2 linked regions of the Nothobranchius furzeri genome follow. The main gene of each other region encodes a partner of the protein of the gene in region 2 in a complex. Links are inferred from orthologs where the notes say so. Each region holds a gene or a part of one and is shown on either strand. Other genes may lie near its edges.

Region 1 (7,255 bases), on a different chromosome or scaffold from region 2:
AGCGAACCTTTTATCTGTGTGCTAAGACAGCGGTGGAGGCCGACGAGTGGATCAAGATCCTCCAGTGGAAACTGGTGAGTGGAAAACCAGCTTCAGATGCCCAAACATCTGTCAGGTAAACATCTGCCAGACACACACCTGTCAGGTAAACATCTGCCAGACACACATCTGTCAGGTAAACATCTGCCCAGTAAACATCTGCCAGACACACATCTGTCAGGTAAACATCTGTCAGGCACACACCTGTCAGGTAAACATCTGTCAGGTAAACATCTTTCAGGTAAACATCTGTCAGACACACATCTGTCAGACGTCTGTAAGTCAAACTAAAAAAACACTTCCTGTCTCACTTCCTCTTTGCTAAAATCCACTAGATTTCTTCATCTGCTGATTGTGTCTCAGCCCGAGTCTTTAGGGCGGGGTCACTAACGTGGTGACCCTGCGGGCACCAAGGTGCTCTTGGGGTCACCACGAGTGCCCCCCGCAGGCCAGTCTAAAAATGGCACAAGTCACCACTAACCCTGATTTTTCCTTTTTTTAACTGTGTTGCTGTTTTGAGTTAAAGCTGCATCGATGCTTATTTGAAAGTGAAAATATTACTTAATCATTCCTGAGAACAAAACTATTTGGTGTTTTTGTGTGTTAGCGTACGTAAATGTGGCAGCGGTGCAGCTTGAGGGGCTGCGAGTAGGGTGACCAGATGGCTCACTTAGGGGACTTCTGGTTATTTGGTTTGGAGAAAGGTTTCCTGGTTTAAAACTTTGACTAAAGTAGCGCTCGTCATTCATCAGCTCCTGCTTCGAGTGCGTCGGGGAGCGTGGATCCACCCAGAACATTTACACATCCAGGAGCCTGAGACAGTCCAGAAGCTCATAACCTCTTCAGCAAGCTCCCTGGAGACATCTGACCATTCACAAGCTGCAGATGAGCAGCTGGGGTCACGCGGCGTTCGGGCCGCAGCAGTGAAAGGTTCCTACTCCAAGTGAAAACGTAGTTTATGTCCCTGGGGCACTCTGAGCCGCTTGTTTGGACTGAATATGAATAAAAATGAGTTAGGGGTTCTCTTCCAGCAAACATGCGCTGCGCTTGTATAAAAAATCTATTTTTGGGCTTCTTCTGTGTTCGCTAATCAGTCCGTGCATCGCTTTGGTGGGAAAAATGATCCAGATCACCCAACCCTAGTCTGAACTGGATCAGGAGGCCTGCGGCTGCATGTAAGTGAGGGAGCTGGTGGCCTGAGGTCATGACCTCTACAGGAAGTCAGGTGGACATGATCTCAGTCTTGGAGAAAGTAGGTTAGATGAAGATGCACGTCTCTGGATGTGAGTCCAGCTGATCCATTTCCCTCATGTTTCAATTAACCGACGAGTCCAAGGAGCCTTGAAGCTCAGAGGACTTGATACTTCTGAATGTATTTACAGTTTCAACCATTAATCCACCAACTATGTGTTTCCAGTCTCAGGTAAGAAGAGGCCGATGACACTCGTCTGCAGCTTCCTCCTCCAGGTTGTCGTGGAAACGGTGAATGAGAACCATCCGGAACAGGACTCATATTTTAAATGAATTCTGTTCATTCTGAAGATCTTTATGGGTCCATCAGAAGATCAACTGCTTCACCAGTTAGCTGGAAGCTCAGACATGTCAGGGTTCTGATGCTCGCCATGCTGTATGCCAGCAGCAAAGCATTGTGGGTAGAACTGACATGTGAGTGGCTTATTTATATCTCCACATGAGAATGTGAGTTTCCAGAAGCAGGAGAACCAGTTTTATTGTGGAAACACTTTGTTCATGACTGATGAATGTTTAAATTAAAGCCTCTGAAACCATCTGGACTCCGTCTGCTCTGAGGTTCTTATCTGTATTCTTTAGGTTTAACTCTAAATGAACCACTCTGGTGCCCAGAACCCACACATTTATTCAGACTAAAAGCACAGATGGAAACATTTACAGCAACGTGAATGAATCTGGTCCACACTGAACAAGCTGCAGGCAGAATTTCCTACAGAACCCAAACACATCGTGAGGATGGTGGTGAGCAGCAAGTCTTCTGGTGAGTCGGAGACTATGTCACCTCCACCACCTGCCTCAGATCCTCTATTAGAGGAGTCAACTCCTTCTCCAGACTCATGATCAGACCTGAGAACACAGAACAGAACACTGAACCAGACTGAACATCTGTTTGTCTCCATAGAGACAGATGTTACCTGTGTTGGCACCGCTGCTGGCGATCAGGCTGATAACCAGGGGGAGGCGATTGAACTGCACAATCTGATTAAGAAACACGCATCACCATGGAGACTTATGTAAAGGCATGAACATTAATGCATCCCTGTGCCGACGCTCAGAGGAGCTGCTGTGTGACCTGGTAGGAGTTGTAGTAGCAGATGATGCTCTTGTTCTTGGACAGGCCGAGTTTGCTGCCCTGATCTGTGGCCAGAGCGAAGGTGGACAAGAAACCGGGTCTCAGCGCTTGGACGGGGGCGTTGTCATTGGCAACTGTAAAAATGAGAAATGAGGACATGGCCCCCTTACCCGGGCAGGTGAGGAGGACTTTAGCACTGGCTCCTTACCTTTCACAACTGGAACACCGTCTCGGTCCGTCACTACGATGGCATGAAGACCTTCAACACTGGGAGAGTTTAAATGGATCAGTAACAACTACATACGGGTGAAACACTGAGCGTTCCCATGGAAACACCAACCTTTGGAGCTGTTTGTACAGGAATCTCTTCAAATCCTGCAGAGAAACCCACAAAAACTGGATTAAACATTTTATTATAAAAGTAAGACAACAAACCACTCCATCAGTGCTGTGTGAACAAAATGACAACTGGACGCAAAATAATAAAAAGACTGCTGCTTTAAATGTCTGGTTGCTGGTTTAATTCCTATTTCAGCGTCTCAAGACAAAACAAATCAATCTCAGACTCGTGACTCATTTAACTGATTAAAACAGCTTCTAGAGAAATCTGCTTTAAGCTGCATCTGATCAGACCTTAGAAAACACCAAAATGAACCGTCTCCGTTTGCAACATAAACACACCTAGCTTACTTTGTTTAAAAAACTGTAAAAGTTCTTTAAAATTGAGAAAACTGGTCATACTCACGTCTGCCATGACGGTCTGATCTAGTTAAGTCTCTGTGGGCAGAAAACGAATGTTAACAAATAAAACCTCCCACAAAAACCACTAACTCAAAGTCTACACTCAAGTTTAAATAAAACAAGCTAGCATGTCAGCTAATCAACAGAGATGCTGCTTCCGGTACAAACGGCCCGCTAAACAAAACACACATAAGCTATAAAAAATGCACAAATACCGTCTTCAGATGACTTTAAACACCGCTGAGACGCTCTACATGCTAAACAAGAGCTACCAGCTACCAGCTAAGTCACATGACATACGGGGCTTATTTCCGGTTTGTGCGGAAGTGTTTACGGAAGTCTGTGCTGCGTGGTTTTAGCCACGAGAGGGCAGTATTACCCTGCTTTACAACAGGACAAATGTCAAGATACGTTTAGATATTTTTACAACCTGTTCGAAAGTCTGACGTTTTTATATGACGTGATTTTTTTTACCGTTTCATCACTAATAGTATGACTGTTTAGCATATTGTTATGATTGTACGGTTTTTAAATATTTGATCACTCATCACAAGGATCATACAATCTCCCTTTTTTTTTTCGTGACACACACACACACACACACACACACACACACACACACACACACACACACACACACACACACTAGGGATTTTTGTAATAAGTGCGTGTAACAGCATCAAACTACGGTACGTGTGATGAGAATGTTAAAAAACAACAAACTATAACTGGCATGATTTTTCTGCATGTTTCCATGACACACACCTTTCTCTCTTTACTTCGCAGGCAGTGCATCTGGTTTCACCTGAACACAGTACAGCTGACTATCAGGTCATGTTAGGAACGTCTGCGCCGCCTCTGAGCGGTCCCTGTTGGACCGTCTCGATGACAGAAACTGGATGGCAATACATTTCCTCAGGCGCAATGATGACAAGGTCACGCTGTTAGGGACAAATGGCCCTGGGAAAGTTCCTGATGGCGACCTGTCCTCCCTGGCACCCTTTAGGAGGTCTCTCATTACCAACCTGGGAGTTGAGATAGACCCCCTCATGAACTTAGATAGCCAGACAACAGCAGTTGTAAGATCATGCTTTTATCAGCTCAGGCGTTAAAGAAGGATCGAGTGGTACGATGCTGCAATCTTGCACTCAAGCATTCCCTCCCTCGTGAACAAGACCCTGAGATACTTAAACTCCTCCACTTGGGGCAGGACCTCATCCCTGACCCGGAGAAGGCATTCTACCCTTTTCCGACTCAAGACCATGGTCTCAGATTTAGAGGAACTGATGCTCATTCCAGCTGCTTCACACTCGGCTGTGAACCGCTCCAGTGAGAGCCGGAGATCATGTTCTGATGAAGCCAACGGGACCACATCATCTGCATAAAGCAGAGACTCAATCCTTGGTGCTGCATCTGCAGTGATGCGGGCGTTGTACCGGTCTGTCGTGGTGAAGAGAGAGCCGAGCCGGAAGGCGAAGGTCTCAGTTTACCGGTCGATCTACGTTCCTACCCTCAATCCTTAGAGATAGGGTGAGAAACTCGGTCATCCGGGAGGGGCTCGGAGTAGACCTGCTGCTCCTCCACATCAAGAGGAGCCAGTTGAGGTGGCTCGGGCATCTGGTCAGGATGCCTCCTGGACGCCTCCCTGGTGAGGTTTTCTGGGCACGTCCAACCGGGAGGTGACCTAAAGGTAGACCCAGGACACGCTGGAGGGACTATGTCTCTCACCTGGCCAGGGAACGCCTTGGGATTCCCCGGAAGAGCTGGCCCAAGTGGCTGGGGAGAGGGAAGTCTGGGTGTCCCGGCTTAGGCTACTGCCTCCGTGACCTGACTCCGGATAAGCGGCTGAAAATGGATGGATGGATGTTTTTAAAATAAAATTGATGACACTTATAGTGTTAAGTTTATTTTTATATTTTCACAACACAAACGCACGAGGTTTGATCATTTTCCTCACACATATTAATAGTTAAATGAATCATTTCCACGGCACATATTATCATGTTTTAGTCACAGTCGTGGTGCCCTTGGGCAAGGCACTCCTTACCTGCAGTGGTTGGAGGGACCGGTGGTGCAGGTGAGCCCCAGAGCAGCGGGGAGAGGGGAGAATGACTGGTAGGCAGGAAGGTGCCCCTGATCTCCACCAGCAAGCTGGTGATGTCCAACATGGCGGTGCAGGTATCGCCCCTCTGGAGGCAGGCGTTGCACATTAGCACCTACCTACCCTGCTACCCCACATACGTAGTTCATGAGTGTTTTTCATCAGAAGAACCCCTGAAGGACGTAGTTGTTCGTCCTTTCATCAGAACCTATTTTGAGCCTGAGAGGGTTAAACTGTTGCCTCGCAGCAAAAAGGTTGCAGGCTCAAAACCCAACTGCAGTCTTTCTGTGAAGCTGCAAGTTCTCCACATGCAAGCGTGGGGTTCCTCCGGGTTCCCCCCACAGATGACCCTACAGGTTAACAAGTTGCTCTGGATGAAAGCGTCTGCCACATGAATAAACATAACAACGTTTAGCGTTTCTAAAAAATCCACTTTGGAATTGGAATAAAAATCTTTCCTGAGACCGTATCAGTTTTTCCTCTACGGGCATCAGGAGAAACTCTGATTTCCACGTCACCTTCGCTGCCACCTGCTGTGTCAGGCAGCAGCGAGCTGCAGCAGGTCGTTGAGAGGTTTCCGTGTGAAGGACACTTCGACCAGACATGAAACCAAATAAATCGGATTCACTCAGAATAAACAGCCAGACGCGTGGCGCTGACTTCCTGTCTGCTTGTCTCTGTTTCTGTGGCTGTTTGCTGTCTGTCTGCATTTCCAGACAGATCAATACTTGCTCACGGGCCCCGCCGACGCACACACGGAACGTTTTACTCTCTTTGCTTTCCAGTGATTCCACGGGAACAAAATGTTCCACAAACCTTTCCATTGGGTCTGCTGACCGGTTCTGTTGCTGACCGGTTCTGTTGCTGACCGGTTCTGTTGCTGACTGGGTTTAGCGTAGGACGAGTGGTGGTTGTGCACCGGGCCTCGTTGGGGCTTCACTCTTGTGTTTATGGTCTGGAAAAGGGAACATGCTGCGGTTCTAAAGTCCATCAGATGTTTGGGAGAACCGGTCGTGACCAGACCCAGCTGCAGCAGTAGCCTACCTTTAACCCTGAGCAGGACCTGGAGGCAGGAACAACGTACCCGGCTGTCAGACAACAAATAAAGTTATTTTTCTGCTGAATTCAACCTTCTCATCTCTGAAATGATGACGATACATCAAACTGCTTTAGGACACTCAGACACATTCACACACTGCTAGTGATGGTAAGCTACAGCGTAGCCACAGCCGCCCTGGGGAGGTCTGACAGAGGCGAGGCTGCCGTTTGGCGCCGTCGGCCCCTCTGACCACCACCAACACAGGCAAGTTGGGTGAAGTGTCTTGCCCAAGGACACAACAGCAGGATACCCCTGGCGGGAGCTGGAATCAAACCCATGACCCTCTGATCATGAGGCAACCCGCTCTACCTCCTGAGCTACTGCTGCTTAATCCTAACCCTAATCCAAGCTAGATTATAAAGGAGGAATGTGGCCAGCTCTCCCGCTTCGTGGCTGGGTTGGTTTCCTTCACCGAGCCAACGCGAGGCTGAGCGTGCTCGTCTTCCTGTACGTGCTGCAGAAGGTCAGGGTCACACAGCGATGGACCCTGAACGCCTCGCCACACGACCCCCGTTCCTCACGACCCCCGATCCCGCGCTGAGACACGATGGAAACCTCTTCTTTTGGATTTGAGTTCTGCCTCTCTCACTAGCAGCTCCAGATTAGACACACTGCATGAAATCCTAATCTGTTCATATTGCTGTAAATGATCCGGATTAGTGAAGCTCCTTGATTCAAGCAGTGGGAATGTTGGGACTTTACTTTGGTGTTCCAGTATGATTCCAAGGAATTAAAACAAACAGAAAAATGATTCCTAAAGAAATGTTCGTCCCTCTGACTCAGATGAGCTAAAGTTGTTTGTTTCCTCCGGCTCTTGTTTGTTTTAGGAACGTTTGTAAAGTCGGGTGAGTTTTGGGTCAGGAGCTAGAACCACTGATGAGCTGGGCCAGGGATCAGAACCGGTTTGCTGCTCTGAGTTCGTAAGTTTTAATTTTTACAACTAATCCATAAA
Region 2 (7,388 bases):
CCAACTCCACCAGCTCCTCCGGCAGGACCCCAAGGCGTTCCCGGACCAGATTGGAGATGTAACCTCTCCAACGTGTCCTGGGTCGACCCGGCGGCCTCCTGCCGGCAGGACATGCCCGAAACGCCTCCCCAGGGAGGCGTCCAGGAGGCATCCTGACAAGATGCCCAAACCACCTCAACTGACTCCTTTTGATCCAGATCCAAATTTAAGCAATTTTTTTAATTAATTTTAAGCTATAATTTACAGCTATTGCCTGGAACCGGTGCTAACCACGTCGCGAACGTGGGATTAGCCATCCAGTTACCATTAAACTTGCACTTCTCCATGGCGCAAGCTCCCACTAGCTTAACCAGCTAACGTGCTCATCTAAAAATAGTCCCCTTTCACAACCAACTGAATGTGTATGGTTCCGCTTACGCCAACATCGTACACAAAAAATGCTGAAATTCACGAAAATGTCAGAAATAAAATAATCTAGTTTATTGGGTCTTTGGTAATTTAAGACCTTTGGAAACTGTATTTAAGGATTATTTGTCATTTTTAAGGATTTTCAAGGCCTTAAATTTGGAAAAGTAAATTTAAGACTTTTTAAGACTTTTTAAGGACCCGCGGATACCCTGTAGTATTTTTGTTATTGAGACTTTACATGTAAACATTTACTGCATTCCTTTGGTGTGGTGCTTTACCGCCTTTATTCTGCGTCTTAAGCCCTTTCTGAAGACACGGTGCTGATAAATCAAGTTGTTGTGCCTCGCTTGGTAGTAATATTGCAGTAACTGTCTGTCTGATCACTCATATACAACCTAACCCTAACCCTGGTGGAAATTGATGGCATTGTTATGTAAAAACGGCTTTAGAAGCCTCTGAACAAAGTTTTCGAATCAAATTCAGTCTTGAAATCACAAAAACCATCTGGCTTTTGGTGTTGTGATATCGAGTCGCAATTCATATCTCATCGCCAGATTCGTGCCAACACACACCCCTATTGTTCAGTCACAGAAATCCTAACAAGACTTAGATATAAACACAGATGTTTGTTCCCTTAGTCACATGAAACTGATTTTTCCAAATTTCCAACGTTATGAATATTTTTAAAGTAAAAAAAGACAATTAGTCACTGGTTTATTGCTTATTTACCTGATCTGGTGGATTTTGAGAGTGGACCCTTTATAGCTCATGGCTACGGAGCCAAACATCATCTCCCCCAGCATTACTACATCAGAGGAACACCTTGAACCCTGAGGAAGAAAACAATGTTTTATTGCATTAACCTGAAAAAGGTCAAGTTTAGACTATCCACTTGCAGCTTTTGGACGCGTGTTGTTACTGCAGGGTGTTGCTTTACCTGGAAGCGGAGGCCCTGATCCTTGGATTCTCTGGCATCAGAGGCACACGACGAGGAGCTGTCCAGGGAACTGCTGCTGCCTCGTGTCGGACGGAGGTGGCAGCATTTCCCAAACATCTTCACCTGGGTATCAGCGCTCTTCAAGTCACAGACAAAGATTATTTCAGATAACCTAAAAGCTCATTTGACTCTGAAATATGCACTAAAATTACTTTAAAAATAAAACATATATATAGTGCATATTAGTTTTCAAAAACGTTCCATAAATACATTTACTGCTCCAAAGTGAGCATATATTGACAGCTTCATTTGTCATGGGGAAAATGACATGAAGTCAAACTGTGTGGGTCATAAAACACAGAAACCTAATCCAGAGGCACTTGGGTAAACAGCTAACTGACAGCAATGTGAGCTCAATCAGCCAGAGTCATGTGCCTTCTTTACTTGGCAGCCTATTCAGGAGGAATGCATTGGGGAGGGTGTGTGTGTGTGTGTGTGTGTGTGTGTGTGCGTGCGTGCGTGCGTGCGTGCGTGCGCGTGTGTTTTCAGCTCAGCTGAAACCACTGTAGCAACCAGAATGAGGGGAGACAAAAGGAAGAGAATTGTTGCTTCATCCTCTAAAGATGCAATCACCACCTGATTAAAAAAATGTGTGCACGTTTTTCTGTTTGTGCAGACGGACGAGTTTATGGCGCCGAGTTTGAGCATGGGTGTGTGTGTTTGCTGCAGTGCAGTGTGAGGAATATACACAGAGTCCAGCAGCATGTGACAGCAAGTCATATGACTCCTGGAGAACTCGTGACTGAGCAGCGCTGCAATCACTCCCTGCTTATCTCCCTCTCCTCTGCCTCTAAACTCCACACCCCTCTCTAATTCCTATAAGACGTCTCTTTTCTCCACTTATTCACCTTTACTTTTATTCTCCAACCCTTTCCTGACATTATATTTTCCCCCAAACTTCACCACCTGGACATCTTCATTTCTGATCCATTCTGACCCTTGTTTAATAATCATCTGTAGCTTGATCCCTCATTTTCTCTACGTGCTTTGAACGTTCAAGCCGTTGATCTAAAATTCATTCCAATGAGCTGACAAAAACAGTCATGTGATAAAACTCACAAAGCAGCTGGCAAACCACTAGCACTGCAGATGCATCAAAATAATGAACAGCCTATCGTGTAACACGTATAATTAAGGCTTTAATGCACAGATTTTCCTTTTTTTTTAAGTGTTTCCTTTAAACAAAATGTGAAACTACATGTGACGACAGTGTTATTTACATGTGACGCTTCAGTAGTTTAAAGAAAATCAGGTGAAATTTTTAAGCAAGTATTCCAATTTCAATGCCGGGGAGGCAGAAGTTAAACGAGAAGCTCGAGAAGCAAAGAAAAGAACAAAAGTACGTAGAAATTTAAATGGGCAGTGAAGGAAAAAAGACCAAGAAACAGAAATCTACACAATCAAGTACCATGATAAAATAAAAATTTAAAAGGTCACATTTTGAAATGACACCAGAACAGAGAGAGATTAGGATCATCGAGGAAAAGAGAGAGATGAATAATAACGACGGTGAGTGAGTGACACGCCCATCATGTGAGGATGAAAGAATGCTGCTTACACACGGGCGGTCAGCTGAGGCTATTATTACTGGAGATAAGAGCACCAGAACAAACCGGTCGAGGTTAGCTGGCAACATGCCGCTGGCTTACATGTTAAACAAGTTGTGCAGATTTTAAAAAGGCCAGCGATGGTGACAGTGTGTCCTCATTTGCAGGGAAAATCAAATGAAGGCACTGATGAAGAGATGTGATAAAAAGTGACATTTTAAAAAGCTTTTTTTATGTTTTTGCATGTATCCTGATAGCAAATAAGGGTTATCGTCAGTCACATGCACACGGTCTGGTTGACATGTACTACAGAGTGTATAAGAGAGACCATAGGTTAATCAAAGCAATCATGCAAGGGCTTTTAGAGGACCAAAAATACACAAACGCCAAGTAAACATGTGACTCACGGTGATGGGGGTTTCCTCCGTGCCCTTTTTCTTGGCATTGGAGTCGAAGAGGACATTTCTGCCACGCCTCTCACAGTCCTGGTACACTATCAGTCTAATCTGACTGGGCTCCAGCTGGGGAAGTGGCCAGCTAAAGGGGAGGAATGGTGGACACAAGAGAAAAAAAATCAAGATGGAAGTTAAGTGGATAAAAACAGGAAAATGCAATCAGGACCACTGAGAATCATTACACATGCCAAGCATGTGGGGACATGTAAACTGGATGAACTTGCAAGCTAGTGAGAAACACGGTTACAGCTGGACTGGGCATGGCAGAGGCTGCAGATTCATGCCACAGCTGCCATTCATCCATCTCATTCCCCAGCCAGTAGAGAGGCACAAAGCGCTATAAAAGCCACCTCCTCAGAGATAGTCAACGCGGAAATCGAGTGGAGTTGAGTCACCAATAAAACTTTCTCAAGTGTTGAAAGGATTATTCACCGCCAAACCCAAAGAGTGACTAATGGTCATGAGGTTGCTTTCAATGGTCAGATGACAGAAACAAAAACTTTAATACAGTTAGCTCTGTACCATAGACTGTACATACTCTGTACCCATAGAAACGTGTACTGTAAAAAGTTACTTACTGTGGATACATGGCCCCTTATTAACTACACATGACTTTTCTTTTTTGAGGAACTCAGTCATCTGGGTGATTTATTAGGGGCTATAAAGCTGACTGGTGATTGGACAAACTTGATGATGGTCAAGGGTTTACATCTGAACAAAAAGATGGATGGGTCAGGCAGATGGACGCATGATGGGCACTAAATATAGTTTTAGTATTGGGAACAGAGTGTGAGTCTTAACAGAACTGCTCAGAGTCAATGTGAGGGGAGAGGTGGAATGGGAACACTTAAGTCTGTTTGGCTCATCAGCAAAATACCCACAATCTACAGCATCACTCCAATTGTTGGCCAACGAGCGCAGACAAGACATGAAATTCCTGCCAATGGTAGTTTGTTTTCACAAGAGGTGGTTCATGTGCATCCGCTCTATGCATGGACCAAACATCGTTGTCAAAATATCACGCGTTCTTGCAGGTGAAATGATTTAGGAAGGAAACCAGCAAAAGAACATGAGTCATTTGCAGCAAACTGGACTAATTTCCACGTTACGTCTCCTTTAACATTAAAATCCCACGCAAGAAACATTTTAATTAAACTGATTATTTGCTTTTTTGCGTAAAAATAAATAAATAAATAAAGAATAACGGGACCGTATTCGACCACAGCCCAACATTAAGATTACACATTTTCACTCTGTATTTGTTGTGAATACAGCAGAATGACTTCTCTGCCTTTCTCAGACACACGTTTATCTTATGTCTCTAGAAACAAGGCACCCATCTGTCCCCGAGGCTCCAATGGTTGTTGTTCATCTACCCCAAATAAACCACAACATTTGGAAAATTCAAGTTTAAAATCAGCTAAGTGGTGGACTGGCCACGCAGCTTTTCCGTGGGTTAGGGTTACGGAGCAGTTTTGGACGTTTCAGCTCTTTCCTTCCCTTTGTTGCAAATTCAAGATGTTGACATTTTCTCTGCAGTATAACCGATAAACTTTCCGTTAAATAGTTCCTCTTGTGTCATGTGTTGTTCCCATATTGATGTCTGGGGTTTTCTCTGGAATGTGGTTATTGGAAGTTAATGTTTGACCGTCTTCCACAACCCAAACCCACCCTTGGTTTTCTTGGCTCGTATCCGAGGGAAGACCTCTTACCCAGTCGGAGTACTTCACGTGTGACGTAACGCCTCTCTGGCTTACGTAATGGGCTCAAATTGCATTATATGGAGCTGAGCCGATATCAATCTTGTTGATTTGGGTGCAAGACTGCACAGACTGTTGTTTAAGTCTGTCACATGCATCCTTGCAGTTGGACTACAGCGTCTCATGGGTGATTTATTCATGAATTAGGTGCCTGTTGCATTGTGTGTAGCCACTGTTTGTTGTATGAGCACACACGTCATGGATCAGGCCATCTTACCAAAACCTTAAACTTTCAACATCATAAAAAAAAGTTTTAAACAATAAACGAATTCCAACACTGCTCATAATTAAAAGGAACCTATTTATAACTAAGCCACAACCACCTACGCCTGTTTCCCTATGAAACCAAAGAACTGTGTAAACTTTGGTGCTGCTTTCGTTTCAAGCACATCTATAAAAAATGCTAAATGAGAAGATTAAGGATGACGGAAAACCCACGAGACAAAATCTAAAAAAAAAAATGTTTGATTTTTTTTAGATGACATTACAAGAAAATTGGGGGAAATGCAGAATTAAGCACAGATGCTCTGAAAAGGTAAGAAAAAGCAAAGTTCTATAAAGAAAACAAAATGTGAAAGAAAAACAAGTGTGATAGAAAATGGTGGATGTATTAGTGAGCTTGTGACAGTCACAGCATTGATAAACAGAAGAGGGTCATTCATAAAAGCAGTGCTTTACTTTGTGACTGCTAAAAACCCGTACTAGTCTGACTTCAATAACCGATAGTGACTCAAAGTCATGAGGTATTGGTTTCCTGGAACAAACTGTTGCTTAAAACACAAACAAAACTAATCCTTTCAAATTTTACATCATAAAAGTAAAATTAAATAAAATCCAATCAGGACTGTGATTTCTTTTATTTATCCACCACCTTCCAACTGGACATCAAACATAACCTGGATGGTATTTAAAGTGCAGAATCATTGCTCTCAATTCCACCCAAACAATGTGCTAAAACCTAAAACAATGCTTCCTTAAAATCCTCATAAGCCACACAATCACAACCGACAGAATTAACTTTGTCCATCACTCTGTTGCTGACAAACTAAACTCCTACTTTCTCTTTTCCAAATGGTTAAAAAGACCGAGGCGGTCAACACTCGGGCTAAAACAAAGTGAATCTAAGAAAACAAAGCATGCCCTCAAACACTCCCCAACATCACCATGACAACTCAGATGCACACAAGCCAGGGTAAATGTCACCAACTCCTACCTGAGCATCATTGTGTGTGTGCGGGTCTTTCCCCAGCCCTTTCCCACTCTCCTTCTCCTCTGCCAGCCACAGCAGGGTCTAAGAATAGTGGTGAACTAAATTCACACAACAACATGAGACTATCAGGTGATCACAGCAACACTGTGTGTGTGCTGGACAGTACAGAGGCAGCAGCAGCAGCAGCAGTGAGTCTGGACTGCTGACAGCCAGATAAGAGAGAGCTGGAGGGGATTTGTTTGTGTGTCATTTCTTAATCCCACTCTTTTTGTTCCTCTCTAGCTTCAGTTCTCTCATCACTTTCTTTCCATCTTTTGGCATCAGTAAATGTAAAATAACCTAACAATTCATAAAAAAAATTTTAATAACTGCTTTTGATATTTTTTCCATTTAACAACAAAAAAATATCTTCAAAAGGCTCAATAAAAGTAGACAAAACTATGTGCAATGCTTCACATTTTAACTGGTGCAAAACATAATAATGTTCATGTTGTAACAAAATGACAAATTAATGCCAGTTCTGTTCCTTATTACTTCATTTTTTTTCTCTTGACTTTGAAAATTTGAACTGATGGTACTTTTGTATCGGCAGCACTGCTACAATGTAAACAATGGACCTTCTTTGTTGTATCAGAGCAATCTAGTTTCCTAGACTGTTGTGAGTCTGACATCACCCTATCTGACCTCAAAGACCCCTCTGCCTCTCAAATGCAACTGGAACATCTGTGCATGCATGCGTGTGTGTGTGTGTGTGTGTGTGTGTGTGTGTGTGTGTGTGTGTGTGTGTGTGTGTGTGTGTGTGTGTGTGTGTGTGTGTGTGTGTGTGTGTGTGTGTGTGTGTGTGTGTGTGTGTGTGTGTGTGTGTGTGTGTGAGTGAATGCAATAAAAAAGGGTCAATACAAACTTCAATAAAAAGTTTCTTTTCTTTATCTGATAACTTCCAACTAGAGTCATCCCAACCAATCACAAACACAGACCCTGGCACGCTCTGTCACCAAGACAGCTATGCGA

The links. The genes of interacting proteins can lie anywhere in the genome.
Region 1: fnip1 (region 2) and lamtor3 share a complex: the UniProt entries of both Homo sapiens proteins name them as parts of the lysosomal folliculin complex. The link is inferred for Nothobranchius furzeri from reciprocal best matches to the Homo sapiens genes FNIP1 and LAMTOR3.

The regions. Positions count from the first base shown.
Region 1 is NC_091758.1:44,826,684-44,833,938, forward strand, and holds lamtor3 (ragulator complex protein LAMTOR3), read right to left. Parts: upstream 3,436-7,255; 5' UTR 3,319-3,435; intron 3,140-3,318; 5' UTR 3,117-3,139; coding exon 3,108-3,116; intron 2,738-3,107; coding exon 2,703-2,737; intron 2,630-2,702; coding exon 2,571-2,629; intron 2,497-2,570; coding exon 2,363-2,496; intron 2,269-2,362; coding exon 2,205-2,268; intron 2,137-2,204; coding exon 2,063-2,136; 3' UTR 1,898-2,062; downstream 1-1,897. Other genes in the region: dapp1 (dual adapter for phosphotyrosine and 3-phosphotyrosine and 3-phosphoinositide), read left to right, coding at 1-74, 1,457-1,480. UniProt on the Homo sapiens protein: As part of the Ragulator complex it is involved in amino acid sensing and activation of mTORC1, a signaling complex promoting cell growth in response to growth factors, energy levels, and amino acids.
Region 2 is NC_091750.1:58,905,625-58,913,012, reverse strand, and holds part of fnip1 (folliculin-interacting protein 1), read right to left. Parts: intron 6,508-7,388; exon of another isoform or gene 6,392-6,507; coding exon of another isoform or gene 6,381-6,391; intron 3,490-6,380; coding exon 3,360-3,489; intron 1,484-3,359; coding exon 1,346-1,483; intron 1,239-1,345; coding exon 1,138-1,238; intron 1-1,137. UniProt on the Homo sapiens protein: Binding partner of the GTPase-activating protein FLCN: involved in the cellular response to amino acid availability by regulating the non-canonical mTORC1 signaling cascade controlling the MiT/TFE factors TFEB and TFE3.